Lepisosteus oculatus: one gene and its partners. The main gene of each other region encodes a partner of the protein of the gene in region 2 in a complex. Links are inferred from orthologs where the notes say so. Each region holds a gene or a part of one and is shown on either strand. Other genes may lie near its edges.

Region 1 (7,081 bases), on a different chromosome or scaffold from region 2:
CAAGATGCGTTTCAAAACGCAAAAACCGTCACACCGCTGGATGGCTACAGCCTGCATCTTTCTGCGCACAAGAGCAGCGGACTTGACTGGGCTCTGCGCGTCAAGACCAGGGGATATCAGATGGAATCACTAGGCTGACCACACACGTCACAGCGTCGGGACAGGATTATAAGCTCCACCGCTGTTTGCCTGTGACAGTGCCCAGCACCAACCCCATTACCCAGGGCTGAGCGAACTCGGAGCCAAAGGCAGCCCAGAGCACTGCTGTGTCTCGAGCGCCTGACTGTCAGGCTCCGTTCTATTCCTGTCCCTGTCCAACAGTGCACAGCCTGTCGCAGCCCAGTGCCGAGGACCAGCGTCTCACTGCGGGCTGGTGCCGGGAGGACACGGCGAAGCAACACGCCGGCTTGCTCCCTGAACCAGCCCACCTCACCGGAGGAGCCGGGGAAGCAAAGGAAGCCGCAGGGGAGTCGAAGCTGGGGGTCTCGTTTCTACACGCCCCCGAAATCTCGCCGGGCTCGGACCTCACTCACGCCCAGGCCATGAACAGCCCCTCGTGCTCAAGAGAACAGGCTGCTTCAAGCGCCGTCTTTGTTCACGAGAAGCAGGCTGTTAATCCTCAAGCTTTCGTTTCTCTGAAATTTGTGGGATAGTCAGGTCTAGGTCTTGTGATTGTTCCCGTGAGCGAAGCCAAAAGTCTGACCCCGCAGGAACGCCATCAAAAGTGTTATTTTGATTTCTCCCGAGTTCTCGTCAGCCTCTAACGAGTGCCTCAGCAGATCAGTTCCCACCAGGCAGGAAGCGGAGGAATGGAGAGGGCGCTGGGTGGTGGTCACAGCCCGGGGCTCTTAACTGGAAAGCTCTCCCCTCTGGACAGGGTTCAGCTGTACCTTCGAGCGAGGTGTTCAGTATGATCCGATTTGTGGGTGGTTGTGGTTTAAAGACACCTAAACCCTGTCTTCAGCCCCGGTTTGCAGTCAGCTGCTGTTTATACCACAAGGTCACACGTATGAAATCATACGTACACTCACCTGGTCACCAAAACCAGCAAGTCAGGTAATAATCCTGGCTGACACTCAGGGGCCTGTCTGTTAGGAAGGTGCTGTCCTATTTACTGACCAGAGAGCGGCAGGGCTTCTCGGTATAGCGCAGGGATCCCCAACATTTTCCAGCAGGGCAGGACTCCGTTTCAATGCATCACAACACATCAGTGTCAGTAAGGACCCTCGAAACTTAAAGCCCATTAAGAATAACAATTACTGCAAACCGAAGCAACTCAGGTCGGTGCTGCAATTGTGAAATAGAGTGTCGTGGGAATAGCGAACGTTTTGCATATATTACACATTTATAAAGACGTACTGTGCTGTGGTCGACAGCGCTTCCGCTCCTAAAACGTTTCCATTAATATCCCACTCGAATACAGCAGCGCCTATAGCCACACACACACTTTCACAGCGAGGTGTGGGGGCAAACAAGCCGGGCTATAGCTTTCTCCCTGCCCTGCCCTCACAGGCAGCAGAGCCGGTCACTGCCACACACGGGCGGGCCAAGAGTTTTACCTCTCGGCGAGTGGCGCGGCGTGTCAATTACACTTGGCCCCTTAAATCTCCCGTGCCCGCTGCGTCCTTCCCAGTTAACATCCGTCTCTCCCACTCCACCCCCGGGACTGAACATCCGGCGATCGCCGACTCCCCCCGACACAGTTCAAGATTCGGGACGGAGCCGAGCCAGACCACGGTACTGACACACTGACAACCCCGGCGGCACACCGAGACCTGGCTCGTCTGTGGATACGGGGCCACCTGCGAGAACACCGCCTCTAGATAAATTATTAAAGGTTACCGTATCACTTCTGTTCCCCTATCCGTTGATGGTGTCGGGACACTTCAAAAACAAGCGACACCGCATCTCCATATGCATGAACAACAACAACAACAAAAAAGAAACGGAAACATAAAGCATCTGGAATTTAAAGTGCGAATTGCACAGCGGGAACTGAATACCTCATTTGCAAGCGCTTGAATTTAAGGTTAAGCGCACCTTGAACCGCCGGGGGGCGAACCTGCAAACACAATCAAGGATGGAGCTACCCACTGGGCGAGACGGGATCATTTTAGTGTTATAACACCGCTCTTTTTTTTTTTGGTTTTGTTTTGCATTGCACTCCAGAGAGCAGAATATTGACGTTGCTACGACTACTAGTGTCGCGCCGTGAAACGAGAGAACTGAGATGACACGCACCTCGGCGAGAAACAAAACAGAGGGCAGGCTGCGGAGAGGCGCTTGGCTGGGCTAACCCTACTAGTCCCCGGTTTAAGGAAATGCCTGAGGAGGCTGGAGTACAAGAACAACAGGACGGAGAAGTGTTTTCTCTGGAAGGGAGAGTACCAGGACGTTCCGTTCCCCGGCGCCGAGCTCGGAGCCCGGCCAGGCAGCTGGGACCCCGGACCAACACCGTGCGCGTCGGCTGTGAATCCAAGCATGCCCCCCCCGAGCCTCCAGCGGGCACGGGGGTAGGGGACAGCCAAGCAGCCGGAGCCGTCGTCTACTCACGGTGTGCGTGTTGCTGCCCAGCCTGGACTCGTATCCTTGGAGGGCTCTGCAGCTGTCGGCTTTGTCCGCGCTCCTCCGGCTCACCCTGTGCTGCCCGGAGCCCCCGGGCGACTCCGCGCTCGACGGCCAGGGGAAGCTGAAGACATCCTCCAGCCTCCCGGTCTTGACGAACGTGGACTGCACCCCGCGGCTGGCTCTGTCGCGGAAATCCACGCACAGCGCCAGTGGGAACAGGAAGAACACCACGCAGCGGCTGCGGGGGATCGGGAGGCGCATCGTTCACGGGAAGGCGAGGGAGCGAAAGCGCTTGAAAATATATATGTTTTTTTATTTAAAAAAAACGTCCATAAATGCCAGGCCGGTTTTTGCGAGCGGTCCCTCTCAAACCACAAAGGTAATGTAAACACGCACAACCCACTAAGCCAGCAGCAAGCGATATCCAAGCACCAAACAGCACATAGGAGTTAAGCGGCTTTGAGGGTGGAGATTCACTTCACACCACCTACCTCCCCCAGACGGCTAAGCGATTGGCTGCTTTGACGCTGAACGCCGGTGCTGATTGGCTCTATTCAGCTATCGATCACACGTACAGCCCTTGGACTTGGGAGTGATTTATCTCATTGGTGGATTCAACCCCACCTCGTTGAACAGCTGAGAGGCCACGCCCACTCCGCAAATCTGCCTATCAACGTGGTTCCCATTGGTTGACGTCTCTCGGCCGGAGGATTCTTTTTTTTCCTCATTGGCTACACTCGACAGGGATCAGGAAAGAAATGTGATCCCCGAACTTCACTGTCAACAATTAAAAATGCAGTCAAGGTTGGTTGGCGGCTATGCGATGCCCCCATCTCCTGCGAAAGATCACATTGCAAGTGTGTGATTTTGATTAAGTAACGTGATATTTGTGACAGCGTCAGAGGCAGTGTGGCTCAGACATATAATTTGCTTTTCCCATCCGCGGTAACATCAAGTCTTACTCTACGGGTGTTAACTAGATGAGTTTCTGAAACCGGAGACCAGCACACAATAACAGTACAACAGACACAAACAAGTGCTTCTACTTATTCTCTGAGGTTTAATGATTAAAAAAGTATTTAGATGTATACCGTATCTGCAGAGTTGCGACTAAATGTGTCGTAAAAGCATACGACATCCAAGTTAAACTGCTCCGATGTATGGAAAATAAAATTAAGACACTTCCTAAACTTTGTACATTTTATGAATGGGTCTTGAACTGCAGCGCCTCGGAACTCTTTATTGCAATTAGTGGTACGTTACTGCTGTGGTTTCTGTCACGTGACCGAGCAGCCAGACAGATCTTGCAGAATTACTGTTAAAATAATGATGCATTATTGTTCTGCACAGTCGCGTCAATCTCTGACATGAAAAATATCGAGACTGCCGAAGCAACTGAAGAAAACGACGGTACTTAATAACGGCATATCTTAAATTACTCAATAGTGGCCGCACAGGGCGCGGGTTTCAACACTTACAGCTCCGCTCCGCGCCAGCTTCATGCCAGTCCACGGGCGGGTAAGTAAACGCTACTGCAGACGGGTCAGTTCAGCAGTAAAATAAGTTATACACTTTAGAACTTCACTTCATAGCTCAGGACGAACACGGACAAGACGGATTAACTGTACTGCGTTTTCCTAGCACTTTAATTCCCACCTGGATTTTTTTAGTAGAGGTTTTGTGCAACAATGCATTTGGACCCAGCGCCCAGTGTGCCCTTTCAGCCCAGAACATTTTGTACCACGTTTGTACCAGGCAGCGGCCCAGAGACCTTCCAAACTCTTGACAGGATGAGCAGTAGTGCTGCCAAACTTTTGGTCCACATCAGTTGCACTTTTGGCAGAAAACTGAAAGACTGAAAAACTAACCTACCAGGAACTTCTAACGAGAGGTAGTAAATCTCCTCTGTAGGTGGCCTTGTGCAGCAAACAAAATGATTCGCAACACTAAAGACATTTTTTAGTGGCTCAAAGTAGTACAGTATTTTCCTAATGTGCCACATCAAATAAATAAGGTAAGGACAAAGGTCCATTTCAATCTATCAGAATCAAACAATTGGGCAATTATACTGACTGAATTATAAAATATTTAATTCTTGCAGGTCTATCAGATAGGTCCAGATATGCAAAGACAACACAGTTGCCAGATCACCCAATGTGTTCACACATTGTGCTCTGACTTGCAAAGGAACAGACCAGGAGTCACGTATGCGATATGTTTTGGAATACAACAGATTTATTGAGTCAAGTTGTAACAAAAATTACACATCACCCCTTTTTTTGCCTTTAGTCCCAGTTCTCATGTTGTGCTGTATTATGTACAGACTTGTAAAAATCACAAAAGAAAGGAAGAAAAAAAAATACAAACAGTAGATTCCTGCTTATTCACTGAAACCGCATTACTGTGTGTGCGTCTCAGGAGAGCTAAAAAGGCATTGGTTACCATCTCTTGCACCGCAATCCAGGAACGTCTGGTGTGCTCGACTGTTGTGGGAGTCAGATCTACTAAAAATCCGTCAGTGCCAGCTTGCTGGACTTTAAATATCTTTAATAACCTCTTCTAGCTCTTCTTTCGTGTACATGTGAAATGTCTTCCCAGGCTCTACTGTAGCAAGCTGTCGGAGAGAAAACAATATTAATACTTATGATGACTGCCCAAACAGCCCCAACCACAAGCCCACATGATGTGGCCAAAGTCCTGATATCCCTCTGGGACAAAATGCATTTGTGCACGCAGAAGGCATTTCTTAGAAAACTGTAATTATCCATTCTGGACAGTCCCAAGTGTGTTTGGAGCTTCTGTCAGTTTTGCTAATAGTAACTGCAATGTGAGGCATGTTCTTTAGGACACACTGTGTACGCGCTATTTCATAGCTTTTTGCCTCCTACAACAAGCGCTATTTTTGTAAGCTGTATTCTATTTTATTAGGTAGCTTGCTCTACTGGAGGTCTCCTGGGATGAAACTGCCTGCCAAACACAACAGTACTTGTTATAATCAACACTACTTGGTAATAGCAGCAGCAGGGGAGGATTCTCACATATCGCACAATCCTGAGAGGTAGGTTTAGTACTCCATCACTCATACAGAGTCACAGATCACAAAGCTGCACACACTGGGCTGCACAACACGTTCAACCTAGCAGGTGGAGTCCTGCGTCCCTCCATTTCTTTCCTCTCATTTCCATTGAGCTTCCAAAGCAGATAAACGGGGAAGACGTGTCTGGCTTTCAAAAGCAGTGGGCTCTATTAAGAAGTAATTAAAGGTCTTAAATAAGCTGCTTCAGCAGAAGCAAATATAAAAAAACTTAGACTCACTTCCCCAGTACTCTGTCCTTGATGTAACAAATATGTAACTAACAGCTGAAATCACTTTAGACTGCATTAAATGCAAAGTTAAACCTGAAGATGTTAAAACACCATGGATTCAATTCCACTAAAGGCCTGAAAAACGTGAACCCCGATAAAAAAACTGCAACCTGCCTGACAGTAACTACAATCTTATAAACCCAGCACTTCATACCGGGCGGGGATCAACAAGGTAAAGAAAACCACCATCAGGGCACAGGGCTTTCAGGACAGGAGGCCAGAAATATTACAGGTCTCCCCTGAGCTGCTGTTGGGCTTGTGAGACTACTGGGTGGAAGTCAATGCATTTGTCTGCAACTGGCTGGATCTGTGAACAAGATGGATCTCAGGGATGTTGGAAGGGAAAGAGTGATATACAGGGGGTAAAAAATCATCAGGAAATGAAGATCATCTACCTCTATGTTTGTTGCATTCAGTTTTTCCTCCATGACCTGCTTCAGGATGGTGAGCGAAGATTTGATGGCATCTTTTAAAGTCATCGACTGGAAAAAACAATTTATGAAACAACACAAAAAGATCAACATTTGTGGGCTTCAGGTTTTCATCCTGATATTTGCATTGCTTCTGCTTGTTCCACAATCTCTTGGAAGGGGAGAAAAAAGAAAAAACAAGGAAATTTTGTTCTTGAATATCAAAATGAGATTATCCATTCACTGCACAACAAGGCAAGAGTCAGATGCTGTTTCTAATGACAGGCATGTGATGTAAACGCACTAGTCTGACAGGATGCTAGGCCGCAGCGACACCCATGACTGCAGACTGACGAGGGGCAGTACCAGGAGACTGAGCCCGCCTGTCTCGTTGAGCGGTATCAATCCCAGCTGCGGGGCTGTTGAAGGTTGAGCTCTGCTCCCTGGATGTTACAGCTACACTCATCCCGGGCAGGACAGCGGTCTGGGGGCTGTTACAACACCATCCCTGCTGCACAGACAGAAGACAGCTATTCCCTGGCAGCAAAGGCCAGACTCCAGACCAGGGGAGATCCCAGTCGTGTAGCCACCTCAAGTCACTTGTTTGTACAAATCAGAAGCTTTTGTAACTCCCGTAAGTCATGTATCAATTAAGAAACTAATACACTTGATCTTAGCCAAAAGATCGAGAAGCGTGCAAAATTAAGGGTGTAAAACAGGTATTTCAGGGCTGAGGT
Region 2 (7,765 bases):
TGAATGCTGGATGGGGACAAACCATGCTAAAAATATTACTGGTCTGAAACTTACAAATGTTATCATTAATACTGTACATGTCATTAGTCTTTTTCCCATCATGTCCAGGATAATTCACTGCAAGTTGAAACTCAGATAAGGACTGTGGGAGTGAGGAACAAACTGCACAGCCTTGATATCCTGGCTTCTTTCAATGAACTGCTGGATAAGATCTTTGGATCAATTAGCTACTAGGAAACAAACAAGCCACTAGTCACTAATTTTATGCGTTTACTTAGTAAACCTACCCTAAGTAAAACTTCATGATTTAGACCGTGATAAGAAATAAATATTATGATTTTTCTATGATCTTTTTATCAAGAATGGTGAAATGTTTCAGCAATATAATATTTTCCCTTAATTATAATTTACCTGTTTAACGGGAAACAAAATGCCATAATTGTTTTGCCCCATTTAATGTAATGTTGAAACAACAGGACAAAGAAAAAAATAGTATATAAAAAAAGTAGAGCTTTTAACAAAAATGTTTGAAGTGCTTGAGCAAGGGCCATAACAATAGCCCAAAACATCCTTTGGTCCCTTGGAATTCTTAACAGTTGGTGATTGAATTTGAAGTAATATTAAGAGAGACAAATTAGAGGCACTCTTAACTTGGCTATCAAATATCTTTTTCTTAACAAACGTAATACAGAAATAAAATACTTTTATACTTCAATATAACATTTTGTTCACTACACAATTCACTTAGTATTCATTACGAATTTGGGGGATTTAGTGATCATTTGATATGTATAATTTCTAACAGAGATATTTAATTCATTATATAGTGTTTCTTCCTTATTTCATTCATTATAAAAGTGACTCGTAGTCATTATTTTAAATTATTTCCATAGTTCCAAGTTATGTACTTTTAATAAATCAATCCAATATGTGTTCTAAAATTGGATTCTAGGATATCTGATGTGGGTGGCATGGTAGTGGAGTGATTAGCATTGCTGCCTAGCAGTGCTGGGGTCCTGGGTTCGATTCCTGGGATGTTCTATGTGTTTATATGGGTTTGCTCTGGGTGCTCCAGTTTCCTTCCACAGTTCAAAGATATACTGGTAGATTAATTGGTTTATGGGCAAATTGGCTCTGGTGTGTGTTTGTCCTGTCATAGACTGGTGTCCTGCCCAGGGTGTATCCTGCCTTGTTTCCATTTCTTGCCAGAATAGGCGCCAGCTCCCTCACAACCCTGTATTGAAAAAAAAGGTTAGAAAATGAATGGATGGATAGCTGTTGTAATTTAGAATATTGGTAGTTGTGTTGATGTCGAAGGTTTGATTTAGTTTTGAAAATAGCAGAAAATAAACAGCAAATATGAGGTTCACAAGAAAGGTGAAAGCATGAGGGAGCCAATCAAATTTTGAGATATCAGCACTTACAGTACTGATATCTGTATGTAAAAACCATTATTCTAATGATTTATGTATTACACATTAAAATAGGCAATTCAGGAATATATGTCTCCTAGTGATAATCGTTTTTGATCTTTTTTTTTGGTAGAAACATGTCTTCAGAAATCAGAAATTACTTTTGATCATGCAACAATTTGAAGGATTTTGATAAGCATTTATGTGACTAATTTCACTTCATAACATAATGTAACTTGAACTGAAAAAAATAACTACTTTAATTTAACAGCAGAATTCATTGAGATCTTTATAAGCACATTTTCACATTTATTTTGCAGCATTATACACTTCAATGTATTTTTTCTTAATGTCGCATTGTTAAAAATAATTTTCATACTTCTACGACACACATCACATTGTTTTCTTATTAAGAGTTGAACGTTTTGTATTTAAATTTAACTTAAAAATAATAGTTTTCCAGAAAACTCAACATTTTAAATTATTTTTTCAGCTTTTTTTAATTTTTCTCAAATTATTTCTCGTGAAATAATTCTACCATTATAATATGTCTTTAGTGGATTCATCCTTTATTATTAAGGTTTCCGTATGTGTATTCCATGTTACTTTCTTCAATACTTTGGAAAGACCAGTTTCCATAACAAAGTTTTTATATCAGTGTAAAAACAAAATCCAAAGAGACTTAATGTGCAAAAGCAATACACTCTCTTCTGTGTTCATCCTACCCTGCAATATAAAGTATAAATATAGCAAATGTGAGACCTGATTAATAGCAGAGATTTGTTTTTAGATTTGTACAACATTAAATATTGTTTTCACATGCTAAAAATAATATTGGTCTATTTAAATGAATAGACCAATATAGACAAATAGACTCTAGATGAGTCTATTTGTTAAGGAAAAGTAATTTTATGTACTGCATTGTTTAGATGAAAAAAAAAAACGTTCTTTGAAGTCATTTCAGACTAATGTTTTTCTTAATCTTTTTATGTAAATGTAATATTCTTTCAGTTATTTGTTTTACATTACATTACATTGCATTGCAACTGAACCTAGTCTTGTTTGCTAATCTGTTTCTAGTGTTTTATTATTATTAACTATAAATATTTGATAAAAGTAAGAGAAAATAGCAAAGACAAAGTGTTTTACATAACCAAGGATTTATAGGGAAAGTTATGGTGAAATGTAGATTCCCACAGATGATAATGACAATCACAACTACTTGTAATGTTTGAAGAACAAGTAGTAGCATCAGTAGCAATAGTGGTAGTGATGGTACACATCAAGACACACAATAAAAAAAACACATTTAAAAGCTTAAAATCTCAGAATATTAACACTGATAAAAGAAAACACTGTTTTTATATTATCTCAGATCAGACACCTACTGTAAATCTTGCCTGTGTAGCCTTTTCCTGCTGCAGTAAATAAATTAGTGACACCCACCTGAGCACATCCCATCAGAAGCCGCAAAGAGGAGCACCAGACAAATAAGTTGAAATCTCATCGTGTGAACTCCAAGTTATTTTCTGTCTAAATAATGATGAAGTCCATATGGAAAGGATCAGGAGAGAACTAAAACACTCTCCTTGTGCTTGGGTGCAGAATAAGGAGCTCAGGATTCCATTCACTCAGTATATAGGCAGCTGCATGATGTCATGAAGACACTCCACCCCCTCTACTGTACTACCCAAATTCAAGAAAGGCGTCATTCATTAAATGTATTGCGCATTGTCTATTGGATAAGCAGGCAGATCTGCCCTTTGATAACTGAAATTAATATCATTATGAAATTTAAATCAATTAATTTTTTTAAAATCTAACTATATGTGATCTTTCTGTGGAAATGTAACAACATTTTTTTAAATTTCTCACAAGAATGTGAAAAAGAGAAGACACAATGCTAGCTACTACTCACTCAATGTTCAATCAATGTCTGCCTTAGATCATTAATCATTTGGGAGAATCTTATTGACTGACAAAAAGGAAGCATTTCAACAATTTGCATGCAATGCTAAGGATAGATTATAAATTTTGTCTAGCTGGTCATTAAGAAACATAAGCAAGAAAAGCACCATTTTGCTTCTTGCCAAATCTTGCCATGATCATTGAAATATACACCTTGTTAGTTCTGTGTGAAAGAAGGGTTTAAAACAGCATGGAAAAGAAGAGAGATACATGAAGCAGTCACAAGGGTAAATACACATTTGGGAATATAAAGAATTCTATAAAGGGGCTGCATGTCCCACAAGCTCCTGGTTGTGTTTAACTGTACTGTATGCTACAGAATGTAGAATGATTCAAACATCTTATATGTTTATAGTTATACAGTATATGCACAATATCTGATACTGTATATAGTATAATTACTGTATACTGATAAAAACTATAAAAAAAACTACTTACAGTATAAGCACAGGTAGTGTTACAGGACTTGTAAGAAATATGTGAATAGCCCCTTTTCACTACCCTAAAATCTCCTTAATCAGCCGTCTTAAAAGCCTTTAAGAAACTTTCAACAGTGTTGCAAAAATTATGATGGAGTTTACATTTCTATGCATTATGTTTCGTGGAATCTCCACTGAATGTCTTGGGTAAGTTGGTGAATTACAGTATTTTTAAGTCTATTACTTGAAATGTATATTGTATCTAAATGTATTCTTTAATGTTAAGGATGAGTGTACTGTAGGATTTACAGTTTTTAAAAAAATGCCACTTCTATACTCTTAATATATTTAAGATAAGAGTCACAAAATATTGGAACCTAAAAGCTAATATTAGAATGAACATCAAATGTAATAGTAGAGAATGAAAGTATACTTATTTTATTGTCACAGGTTAGTATTGGCAGAGTGCAGTGCTTTGTATGAGGTATAATGCTGTATAAGTTCAGTAAAGATCTCAGTAAAATGTAGAGAGCAGGCATTGGACAGCATTTTCATATCTTTCATGTATAATGCAGATATTTATGCAAATTTTAATAATTTGCCATATATATCCCTTCTATTATATAGTATATTTAATGCTAACATTTCAGCATTTCTCTACAAAAAGGTTTTTATGACCAGAACTTTATTTAAACTTTATTTAAAAAATGTACAGTTAGGGTATGCCAAAAACAAGACCAAGAGCAAGTGCAAGATGACTCTATTTCACACAGCCTTGTCAATGATCAAACAATAGTATTCCACTTTCTAGAACTCATGATTGTGTTTAATTGTATGCAATACCAAGAGAACCCATCTCAGGTTCAGCCCAAATTCATCTGGTGCCAAGAATATCAGGCTTCCAGTTTTCTCATACTGGTAGTGGGCATGTTGTGTTAAGAGCAGACTGTGAAACTAAATGAAAGAATAGATTCTGCAGAAGTACTGCAACTGCATATTTTATTTACTGGGATTAATAAAACGTGTCATTTTTCTCTTTTTAGTATATTTTTATTGTGCTAAAATCTGAAATCACTTACATAAATTAAGACAGAACTTCTATTATAGTAACTCCCTATGGGTTATTCACTTCTGAATAGCCTTACTATCTGGGCTTACTTGTCAATGAAAAAAACATGTATCTTTAATTGTCACCAATAATAAACAAATTTGTACGATATAGATACACTACGAGATAAAATAATAATTTGTTTCATATTTAAAATAATTATATGACACCTGACATTAACTATTGCAGGTAACAAGATACCCACTGGTCGTCTCCCTTGAGCAAATGGTTACGTTTACATGTTCATCTACTGTAGTTTGACATTAACGCAACGGATTTAAGAGGATGGTGAATGTCTAGATTAACTTCAAACATAAGGAAAAGAAGATAAAGCTATTGTGCAATATCTGTTCCTTTATATTCTGTATGTTAGAATTTCAGAGGATGAATTAACACTACCAATTGTATCATTGCAAAATTGGAACAAGCTAGTGAAAGACAATTTTCCTTATTTAAAGTTTTACATTATAATCTGTTAATTTAATAATGTGATTTTATCAAATACATACGATCGTATCACGATATATTTTTTTCTCAGTTGTCCAATAAAATATGTCATGTGTACTGATCTGATTAGAGGCAGTGAAGAGAACTTGTTAACGTTAAGTTATAAAACAGGAGTGCTTTGCTGTTCAAGGTGGTTACTACTAACAAAGACGTTTTTTTTTATGTTGATCAGCGTTTCAAAAGGGTGTACAGAATTTGACTCTTTTGTGCCACCACTTGGAAATCCGTGCAACGGTTTGTTTTTTCTAAATGTTGGCATTCAGAAATGAATTACAGTATGTACGGTATAAAAATGCCAGCAATTTTTTAAAACACTTGATCAAATATTTCAGTCGCAATAAAATGAACACGCGTTCTAGATGTCTGTTGGGCCTTCCTGAGCCACGGCATATAATGTTTGTTCTTAAGATCATAAGAAAGGTTACAAACGAAAAGGTAGTCTTACGGCCCATCTAGACCATTTGGTACATTGGTATTTAATTGATCCAATTATCTCATCCGGCTATTCCAGGGTATTGGCTTTAACAACATGGCTTCAGCCATGCTCCTACAATTCTTTGGGTAAAGATCTACCTTCTGTTCTTCATTTTTGATGCACTTCCACCATGTTTCTTTTGTTTGACTGACTTTGTCAATGTCTGAGGATTTCTAAATACTGTACTTGTATGAGGTGCCGTTGAAATCTAAAACTGCACGTTGAACACTAACAGACGATTACGTATGCACCACTTGATGCAAGATTTTAGAAATCCAAGGGAAAATATTCATGTATTTACATGCAAAGTAAATAGTTGGATAAACGATCACACATTTAATCTGTTTAGGCTAGTATAATTCACGGCTCTGATAAAATAACTTGCCAACCCTTATAAATGTCAAAATTATGTTTTGGTGCAGAAAATAACACATGAAGACAAATAATAAAACATATTTTCAAGAAGATTTATAGAATAAGTTACGTTTGACTAATATTCACAACATATTGTCTTCTTACACGTGTTATAGTCTGTCAATACTAGAAGGAGAGCCAACCCTTCAGGCACAGGTCGCAAAGTCATAGCACAGACCGGACATGACAAGTGCTCATTGCATAGCTCAGAGGGCAATTACTAAATACTAATTATTATATCATAATCATGTTTATTATATAATTAACTTTGGGAGAGTGTGTTTGGAATGTGGAAGGAAACCGGATTACCCGAGCAAAACCCATACTAACGCATGCATGAACACTCAAATACGAATGCAGAACACATGTAAATTCAAAAGAACAGCGTAGAAGAAGACGATGATTTTCTGTCATTCAGATTTTGCTCTAAAACTTAAAATTGAAATTATCACTGAATGAATAAGGGTGTCTGCTAAGCAAATAAATAAATAATGACTTCATCATGTATGTAAATAAATGCATAAAAGATGTAAACATGATTGCCCTCAAGTGTTGCAGATCAGCTGCCTCCAAATTCCATGCAAAGAAAAAAGTAAATTGTTATTCAAAGTCCAAAACATAAATTCACAAAATTCTTTGGACTTTGAATATTCTAAAGTTTTAGTAAAAGTTTGATTTCTCATATTAAAATACTTTCCAATGATGAGAATGATAACAAATGCTTGACGATGATAAATTCTTAAAAATCAATAAGAGCAATTGATTGTTTTTTACTAATATTCTCATCCATTTCGCTTGCCTTGGTGAAATCTTTATCAAAATGGGCTGATGTTACATACATCCATACCTTTGTGTTTCTTATAGTACTGCATTTCTACCTTGTTTTGAACGTGGCAACGTGGCAGTGATTATTTGTACAGTATGTGATTATCTTTAAGGCTTTTAATAAAGATATCCATGTTATTACATAGTCCTTGTCTCCACAGTCCATTTTTATGGATCAATACTTTTTTATGACTATACTATGTATTTGAAGAACAGGTTAAACAAGGATGTACGAGGGCTGTAGTGTACTAATTCGAAAGATTTTTTTTTGCATAACGCCACCTTCAGTGTAGGAATGGGACGGGCTACTCAAGTACAACTAAACCAAAGAGAGAACAAAGTTAACAGTTCAAGTCCGCCCCCACCTTCAGTCTAGTCTTTCGCTGCTATGAACTGTAAGGGCTACAGTCAAATCATGCTCCTTGTTTAACATCTCCTGGGATTTTTGTAGTCTTTCAAGTTACCATGGCTCCCTTTGGAAGGAATTTCTTAAAAGCGCGCCTGAAAAATAGGTAATTTATTCCTTCGAATTTTTCCCTTTATTGAACTATTGACCGCTTCACTATTGTACTTTAACGCAGCTAATTATTGAACTTGAAAGCTGGTTTATTCGCCGTTACTTCTCGCTCTCAAACTG
Region 3 (7,705 bases), on a different chromosome or scaffold from region 2:
AAGTACAAGGCACAAAAAGAGATTTTTGACTGTATGTCAAAAAGACTTGGACCATGGAATATAATAGTAACAATCCCACAATGCTGCATTCTTTGAATTGTTCTTTTATACAGTAAGCGCTTGGTAAGTCAAATTAAATAAATCAAGCTCTCCTTTCTCTCCCATTACATTGATTGTTCTGTGGCATTAAATGTCTGCAAACCTGTAAAAAGCTTAGCGTTTGGTGAGTGAATTCCAGTTACTCTTGCTGTCATAATCTGAACACCCTCAGCAGTAGAGGTGCACAGAACTGAAACGACAAACAACACGAAATATTGAATAAACTGAAAAGATGTCAATACAGCTCAAGTTTTGTTTAGCAGCACACATTGCTGCCTTTGATTCATGACACCTGCTGAAATCTCAAAATGACTAAATGAGGCAGCTGATCATAAGTAACTCCACCCAGACCTTTGTGGCAAACCTGGTGCTGTAGCTTTCAACGTGCTCATGCTGAGCACCCTCTGCTGTGTGCACACCACACAGCGGGGGTCGTGGGGCCGGACTGAACTCGGATCAAAACAATTCTCATTCGGCAGGCTTTGACCCTCAGGGCAAACGGGTCACCACGAGGAACACACTCCCCCGGGGCTGTGGAGGACTGCGCCCAGCCTCATGCTGCTGAGTGAGTGAAGCCGGGGCTGGCCAGCGCAGCATCCTCAGGAGGGCGCTGTGACCGTGCGGCGTTCCTCGGGGTCACACTGGTGAACCCGACCAAATTCTTCAGTGCCAGGGCGCGTGGTTTTCTCGATAGGGCTGCTGGAATAGCGTCAACCAGCTCCTTCATCATTCGTAGCAGCGGCCTCACCACCCAAGCAGCCGGCCATGAGGGGTCCAGACATGGACCCAGACACTGTCGCCTCGAACCTGGGTCACAACAGACAGAGCCGGTTTACCCGGCCAGTACAGATTCCAAAATGATGGAGGGGCCAGGGAGGGAGAATTCTAAAGTAGAGAATCATTGAGGCATTTAATGTCAAATAAATGGATGTAAATTGCTCGCCCTCTGATATGTCTTCTGACTCATCTGGCTGTGCCTGGAGTACCGTAATTACTGTAGCCACCGGGGCTGGGAAGGCCGGGGGACAGGCCTGACAGATTAACGAAGCAGTGAAACCCTTTGACGTACGGAGTATAAATGGTATCAAACACGGGTGAAGCGATGACTCATTCGTTTTTTTCCCCATCCTTGACTGGACGCTGGAACACTGCTGCTTTCAACTCACTGACAGCCTACTGTGGGCGGTTAGACAATAAAAAATAAATATTATAACCCCCACCCCCCCCCCAAGGTCTTTTTTGTTCCTGTTCTGCTGTATTTCACACTTTGGTTTGTCCTATTCCCATGAGCATCCCGAAAGCTAACCTAGAATTCCTAACCAGCTCCGGAATACCGGAATATAGTACGGCCTCGTTGTGAGAGAGAAAGCCAGGAGCCGATGGACCACTGCAAGCCGAGAACTCAGGTGTCAAGACACCTTTTCCTTTTCAGTTCTAAGAAAACTGGTTCAGCTCAATCTAATACCCCCGTTGATTCAGTTCGAGAGCGGTACTCACTTGACTTGCTGTGGTTGGGCTGCAGACACCAGAGAGCTTGTGTTTGAGGCGTGTTAACAAGTTCATTTCACAGCCGTCGGAGTGATGGGCATTTTAGGTACACCACTTGAAGTGTGACTTTTTTTTCTGGTACTGGATTCCAGTGCTTATTTCCGATCACATGGTTTCCATTAATTCCTTTTGGGAGGAGATTCAGTTAATTACAACCACAAAACTGGTCTGATCACCAACCACGATGACCAAAGTTAGTTGCTCCTGTATTCAGGTCTCAACGGGACAGATGTGGTTGTCATTAGGTGACACTGGTGACTCATCCCAGTTTGACTCGCATTTCATTCCGCTAATGATCAAATTTAACCCCTGGCACGCATGTTGTTTTATTGTTGCACTTCTACCACTGTCTGAACATGAGATCTTCCAACACATAATGTCAGCACAATATTATACGTATGGTATCCCAATGGTGCAGTTTCAGTGACAATTCCAATGGCTTGCAGAAGTCATTGAAGATCCATACCGCATTGAATTCTGTCTCATAATTTACAAACAACAAAAAAAGGACTAAATATGACGTAACAGGAGAAAATGATACATGAAGAAAACACACCTGAAGCCATATGCCCAGTTCAGTAAAGGAAGAATCACTTATTTATCAATGTTTATAGGCAGATGCAGCTCACCTGTGCCACCAGACCACTCCTGCAACCCGTCACCTCAAAATGACGAATGTGTCCGTGTTCAGTTTCTCAGAATACACTTCTCAGCGAGCTAACTCACGGCGAGTTTTACACCGGGTCCTGTTCTGGCTGCAAGCTAGTGGCAGGTTAGGGCCCCTGGACCCCGACTGGAAAGCTGTGGGCTCGAATCCTGGGTGGGCTCCAGCTGTTGCATCCTGGGAGAAGGACGTCTCTCCAGCTTCCCCAGCCGAAGGCTTGACTGTATCGGTGGGTTAGCTAGAGCAATGGCCATCACAATGTACTTACTAAATTACTACTAATTCTAGTAAATAAATTCCTTAAAATGAAGCCACTTAGGTGTCTTAAATGATTAGTACTGTATTAAATCCCCTTGCTTAGTGTCCTAACATATCCCAGCTGACCCTGTGCTAATTTTGTGTCTGTGACTAAATACACTGGGTAAAGAAAGATACTGCCTTTTAGATTGGGCATTTCCCAATATCATAAATCATTGATTTTGCAATAAATATACTTACCAAAACAATTGTGGGAAAGTAGTGGACAAGATGGGAGAGACCAAAGCACTGATGTAATTTGTGGGAAACACACTGACAAAGTGTCAAATCCTTCATCTACCCTTCCTGTTTCAGGGGAATGTTTATTGAATCGGAACATTTTCCATTCGTTTCTTTTTAGGCTCTATTTAAAAAAAAACAGGGCTCATGTTAAATACACCACCAGGCAACTCCCAGCTGTGGGTGGCCCTGTGCTAGAAACTTTCTTTGCAAACCACCAGGATGGGGGAAGGAACGGGAACAGAGATCAGATCATGACAGAAGAGCCATTTGCTCATGCTACTGAAACTCGAGCACTAGAGCCGGTGAGTGCTCACACGCGCATTCAAACCCCACGTTCGGGGATGAAAGCCGTTCCCATCTTCACACATCAAGAGCATTTACATCAGCCTAGACGTCCTCAGGCATGCTGGAGCACTTATTCCAGCTTGGCAGGACCTGCTGGACTGGAAGATGCTCTCAACTCGTTGTCCCTCCTGTGGGGGGTGCCGAGAACTCACTTCTACCGCCTCCTTCTCGGCGCGCAAAGGAGAGAAATTCTGCGCGCCGCGTCCGAGATGGACAGGCAGGGTTTTCTGAAGAACAGCTGGTTGTGACCACGAGTGTGTCCTTTTCAATTCGGTATTGAAAGACAATCCCGGGAGAGCCAGGGTATTGAAAACAGGCGAATGGCTGTTTGTGTGTGTGTGTCAAGGATGAGTTTTATAATTCACGCACGCTGTTCTCTAGAAAGTGGGGCAGGACAGGTATTACAGTTGCTATGGCTAATTAGCAAGCAGTGAGGACGCTCAGCCTGAGCACGGCAGCATTCTTCCACATACCCTCAAACGGTTAAACCACATCAATCCTAAAGAGTGCTCTTCGGCTTTTAAACCGCAGAGAACAAGGTTTCGACTCTTAACTATGGGTGCTGCAAAAGGAGGTTGTGTAGAAATGATCACATTGTCATTTTTCTCCCCGGGTATGGGCGTTAAAGAAAAAAAGCGTACAAGGCCGGAATGTGAAATTTTGTAACAGTGGTTTTACTTTCAATTCAGACTTGAACACTCAAATAGTAGAGATGCTTATTTGCTGTATCGGTTAAGCCCAGATGTCCGGGGTATTGCTGGTTTGAGTCTGGACAGTCAGCCAGCAGTGAGAGGGATTTTTCAGAAAAATTTATTCGAATTCCGCTTGCAGGGTTATCGTCGATTTAGGGCAAACGGGCACGTCTGTGACTCGCCTGGCACCTCTCATTCTGGGTGCGAATCGGCGCTCACTGTCTCGTAGACCCTGTAAGACTCACAAAGTCAAAAGAAGGACGATAGACGCCGAAAAAAAGGCACACCTCCCGAGGAACAAAACTGAGCTCTGCGGGTGATGTTTTAAAGTATCCTTGTTGTTACAAAAACACAAATGTTATTATCCTTTTGTTACTTGGGAAAACGTGAGTTTAAATACAAATATGAACAAGAAAGCTAAGATGCCGTTGATAAGACAGATCTGAGGCAGACGCAACACTGTGTCGCCAAGTAGTAATATTGTCCTCTGTTCGCATTCGTTTCTCCAAGTACGCATTACTAATTATAGCTTTCAGGTTGAAAAAAAAAACTCATCGTTGTTCACCAGAAAGACAGGGTTTCATCTTTAGATCAGCATCGATGCAACAAATGGACAGTAAATAACAGTATGTACCTAAAGTATAAGAAACCGCCCTGCATATAGAATCGTTGTCGTTTAACATTTAATTTTTAAAGGTGTTTGCGATTCTTTGGGGGGGGGGAGGGGGGTGTATCTGAGGAAACCTGGTTATATAAAACAGGGAAACGATCAGACTTCATGAATGAAGTGGTTTGCGTCAGTGCCCGAGGTCTGAGCAGAGAGGCAGCGCGCCTCCTCCTCCGCCAGATAAAAAGCCAACTTCTGGGGGAGCGGCGCTCTGGGCTGCGCTGAACACCGCCGAGCGCTCCCTGCCTCTCTCCGCGCCGTCCGCCCCGCGTTCCCCGGGAAAAAAAGGGAGGAGGAGGAGGAGGAGAAGCAGAAGAAGAAAAAGAAGTTGCCCGGCCACACAATGGACGAGACCTCCACGCTGCTGGGCCGAAACTTCTCCCGGGACTTCCAGATGCTCAGCCAGTACCTGCTGGCGGCGGCCGGGAACGCCTCGCGCCCGGCGAACGCGACGCCCGGGGAGCACGAGGAGGACAGCCTGGACGTCAGCACGGACATCTACTCCAAGGCTCTGGTCACCGCCATTTACATCGCCCTGTTCGTCGTCGGCTCCCTGGGCAACTCCATCACGCTGTACACCCTGGTCAGGAGGAAGACCTTGCAGAACCTCCAGAGCACGGTGCATTACCACCTGGCCAGCCTGGCGGTGTCCGACATCCTCATCCTGCTCCTCTGCATGCCCATAGAGCTGTACAACTTCATCTGGGTCCACTACCCGTGGGCTTTTGGGGGAGCCGTTTGCAAAGGGTATTACTTCTTGAGAGACGGCTGCTCCTACGCCACGGCGCTCAACATCGCCAGCCTCAGCGTGGAGAGGTACATGGCCATCTGCCACCCCTTCAAGGCCAAAAGCATCATGTCCAGGAGCAGAACAAAAAAGCTGATCAGCGCTATCTGGGTGGCGTCGTTTCTCCTGGCGACCCCCATGCTGTTCACCATGGGCCAGACTTACACCAACAACGTTCAAATCTGCACCACCATAGTCTCCACGCACACGGCCAAGATCGTCCTGCAGGTGAGTGAAAGGGACTTCGCGACAAGACAAGAAACCCCCCAAAACAAAAAAGCGCTTTTCTCGCACCCGAGCCACCAGCTCAGCTCCGGGCGAATCGAGTGGAGAAACACGGTGGCGCGTAAAAACAGTCGGTCGACTGTCCTAAACCTGTTCTGTAACATTCATAACACAGTTACGTAGTATTTGGGTAGTGTTATTAAACTCTAACAACGATAATAAGTCATAAGTAGAGTCGGTAAGACATTTTTTAAACATTATCCCGCGCCAAGGACTACCTGTTGCTTGTTTAACTTTTACCACATCTTTAAAAAAATAAAACGATCGTCAGAAAACGCCGGCATGTACCGTTAACGTTGCGGGCAGCAGGAACGGCCCCAGCGGAACCGCACGACTCCCGGGCCCAGCCGCTGAGGCAGTGCGGCCGGCACTGCGCCACTTCCACACGGCCCGGACTCGACAGACTTGGAGAGAGCTCCGTCGCTCTGTTCAGTACGGGTGTCCTTTAAACAACCCGGTAAGAGTAAAAAAAAAAAAGTCCAGATTTATAGAAAAGACATGAAGCAGATCTGGACTGTCTGAATCCAACAGAAACACACAGATACCTCAGTACTTGACACTTATTCTCCCCACCAAGACACGCTCTACGTGACGTTTACTGTTTAAAACGAAACGGAAGAATGTGCTCAATGGGTATAATTAATGTCATTACAGTCGAGAGTGCTTCAATTACACCTGCCTGCGCCGCGGTTTCTGGTGGTACAGTACATGTCGTGTATCGCGCTGTGTGATGGAGGAAACTGGTAAAAAAATAAAATAATCATTCTTCTTTAATACATAGAACAAGTCGTGTGGTCTTGTAATATATGGAAAAAATAGATTGGCTTACTTAAGAAATATTTATGCACCGTTGTTAGTTTTAGGTTTGGTTTTCTGTTTTCTAAAACGACCCTTAGAAGTCACCTAAAATTTGAAAGATAAAAATGTCCAGTCGTTATTTTTAAATATGTTCACTTCTCGTCGTACAGGAGATTTTCCCCATTCTAACAGGAATAATATTTACCCTTGACAGATCACACCTTCTGTATAAATTATCGCAAAATGTTGGTCCCGAAAATGAAAAAAACAACAAAAAAACAACACAATTAATGCTACTGTAAGTGCGTCGAAACTGTGCTGTTAGAAGACACAGCCATCCAGCCCTGCGCAGCACAGAGCGCACTTCAGGAATGTTCTCCGGCTGGGTCACGTCGTGGACATTAGAACTACCGATTATGCGTTACAATTGCCCAGAAAGCAATAGCCACAACAATAAAACATAATATATTACAATAGATTTTACCCTGTGCAATAAGCAATATTCACAAATGCGTTCTTGCTCACAAAGTCATCCCATCACAGTGCGTGGTATGGGATACATTGCACTTTGCACACACGGGCTGGGAGCATTTCAATTACATCCACGATGTCAGAGTGTTCTGATGAGATTGTTTTGACAGATATACACCTTAACCCTGACGTGGCAGTAGGAGCTTGGCTCTGCTGTGCGGCCACCAGAGATTCAGAGTTTGGACCGCCTGAAGTCTGCAATACAGTGGAGGCTGAGCTCGAAGCAGCATTCTTCCCCATTTTAAAACCCACACTCTGTGTGCAGGAGAGGGAAAGCAGACAGCCCGCTTGGCTCGGCTGTATTTTTCATGGGGAATGTTGGAATTGTGTTCCTGCGCAGGGAGAGATCTCCAAAGGAAAAGATGAGGTTGTCTAGGTGACAAGATCTGCGTTTCTGTTGAGCCGATGCAGGCAGGCAGCGAAATACTGTACCTTTGAAATGTTTCCAATTTCACAAGTGCTTCACTGCTGTGTTTTAATGCTCAGCGTGTAAGAAATGTAAAAGCAGAACAGCAGTGTAGAGGGTAAAATCAACTCACAGAAGAGTTTTAGAAGCCCTGTAACACAGGCATTGCAGCACCCAGGGGGTAGACTGCCAAATCGCTTTCAAAAACCTCTTATCCAGTACAGGGTCGCGGAAAAGCCAGAGCCTATCACAGGAAGCAACGGGCACAGGGCAGGGTACACCCTGGGTTGCACGCCAGTCTATCCCACGGCACACACACTCACACCAGGGCCAGTTTTCCCAG

The links. The genes of interacting proteins can lie anywhere in the genome.
Region 1: the proteins of nts (region 2) and sortilin are in contact, whole or in part, in a crystal structure (PDB 4PO7), measured with the Homo sapiens proteins. The link is inferred for Lepisosteus oculatus from reciprocal best matches to the Homo sapiens genes NTS and SORT1. Residues at the interface, in NP_006174.1 of Homo sapiens: Leu152, Tyr153, Glu154, Asn155, Pro160, Tyr161, Ile162, Leu163; in NP_002950.3 of Homo sapiens: Val112, Ser113, Leu114, Ser115, Trp116, Lys260, Tyr304, Ser305, Phe306, Gly307, Leu308, Phe314, Ser316, Arg325, Ile327, Phe350, Tyr351, Ser352, Ile353, Tyr395, Gly399, Thr570, Gly571, Leu572, Ala573, Trp586, Trp597.
Region 3: the proteins of nts (region 2) and ntsr1 are in contact, whole or in part, in a crystal structure (PDB 4BUO), measured with the Rattus norvegicus proteins. The link is inferred for Lepisosteus oculatus from reciprocal best matches to the Homo sapiens genes NTS and NTSR1. Residues at the interface, in NP_001095851.1 of Rattus norvegicus: Arg157, Arg158, Pro159, Tyr160, Ile161, Leu162; in NP_001102437.1 of Rattus norvegicus: Ser53, Asp54, Leu55, Asp56, Asn58, Phe128, His132, His133, Tyr146, Met208, Val224, Cys225, Thr226, Pro227, Ile238, Arg327, Arg328, Phe331, Cys332, Tyr333, Ile334, Ser335, Asp336, Trp339, Phe344, Tyr347, His348, Tyr351.

The regions. Positions count from the first base shown.
Region 1 is NC_090700.1:39,850,144-39,857,224, forward strand, and holds the start of sortilin, read right to left. Parts: upstream 3,074-7,081; 5' UTR 2,830-3,073; coding exon 2,554-2,829; intron 1-2,553. Other genes in the region: psma5 (proteasome subunit alpha type-5), read right to left, coding at 5,105-5,182, 6,330-6,416.
Region 2 is NC_090702.1:18,136,004-18,143,768, forward strand, and holds the start of nts (neurotensin/neuromedin N), read right to left. Parts: upstream 3,015-7,765; 5' UTR 2,920-3,014; coding exon 2,859-2,919; intron 1-2,858. Other genes in the region: rassf9 (ras association domain-containing protein 9), read left to right, coding at 7,594-7,640. UniProt on the Homo sapiens protein: Neurotensin may play an endocrine or paracrine role in the regulation of fat metabolism. It causes contraction of smooth muscle.
Region 3 is NC_090711.1:3,524,800-3,532,504, reverse strand, and holds the start of ntsr1 (neurotensin receptor type 1), read left to right. Parts: upstream 1-4,632; 5' UTR 4,633-4,898; coding exon 4,899-5,570; intron 5,571-7,705. UniProt on the Homo sapiens protein: G-protein coupled receptor for the tridecapeptide neurotensin (NTS). Signaling is effected via G proteins that activate a phosphatidylinositol-calcium second messenger system.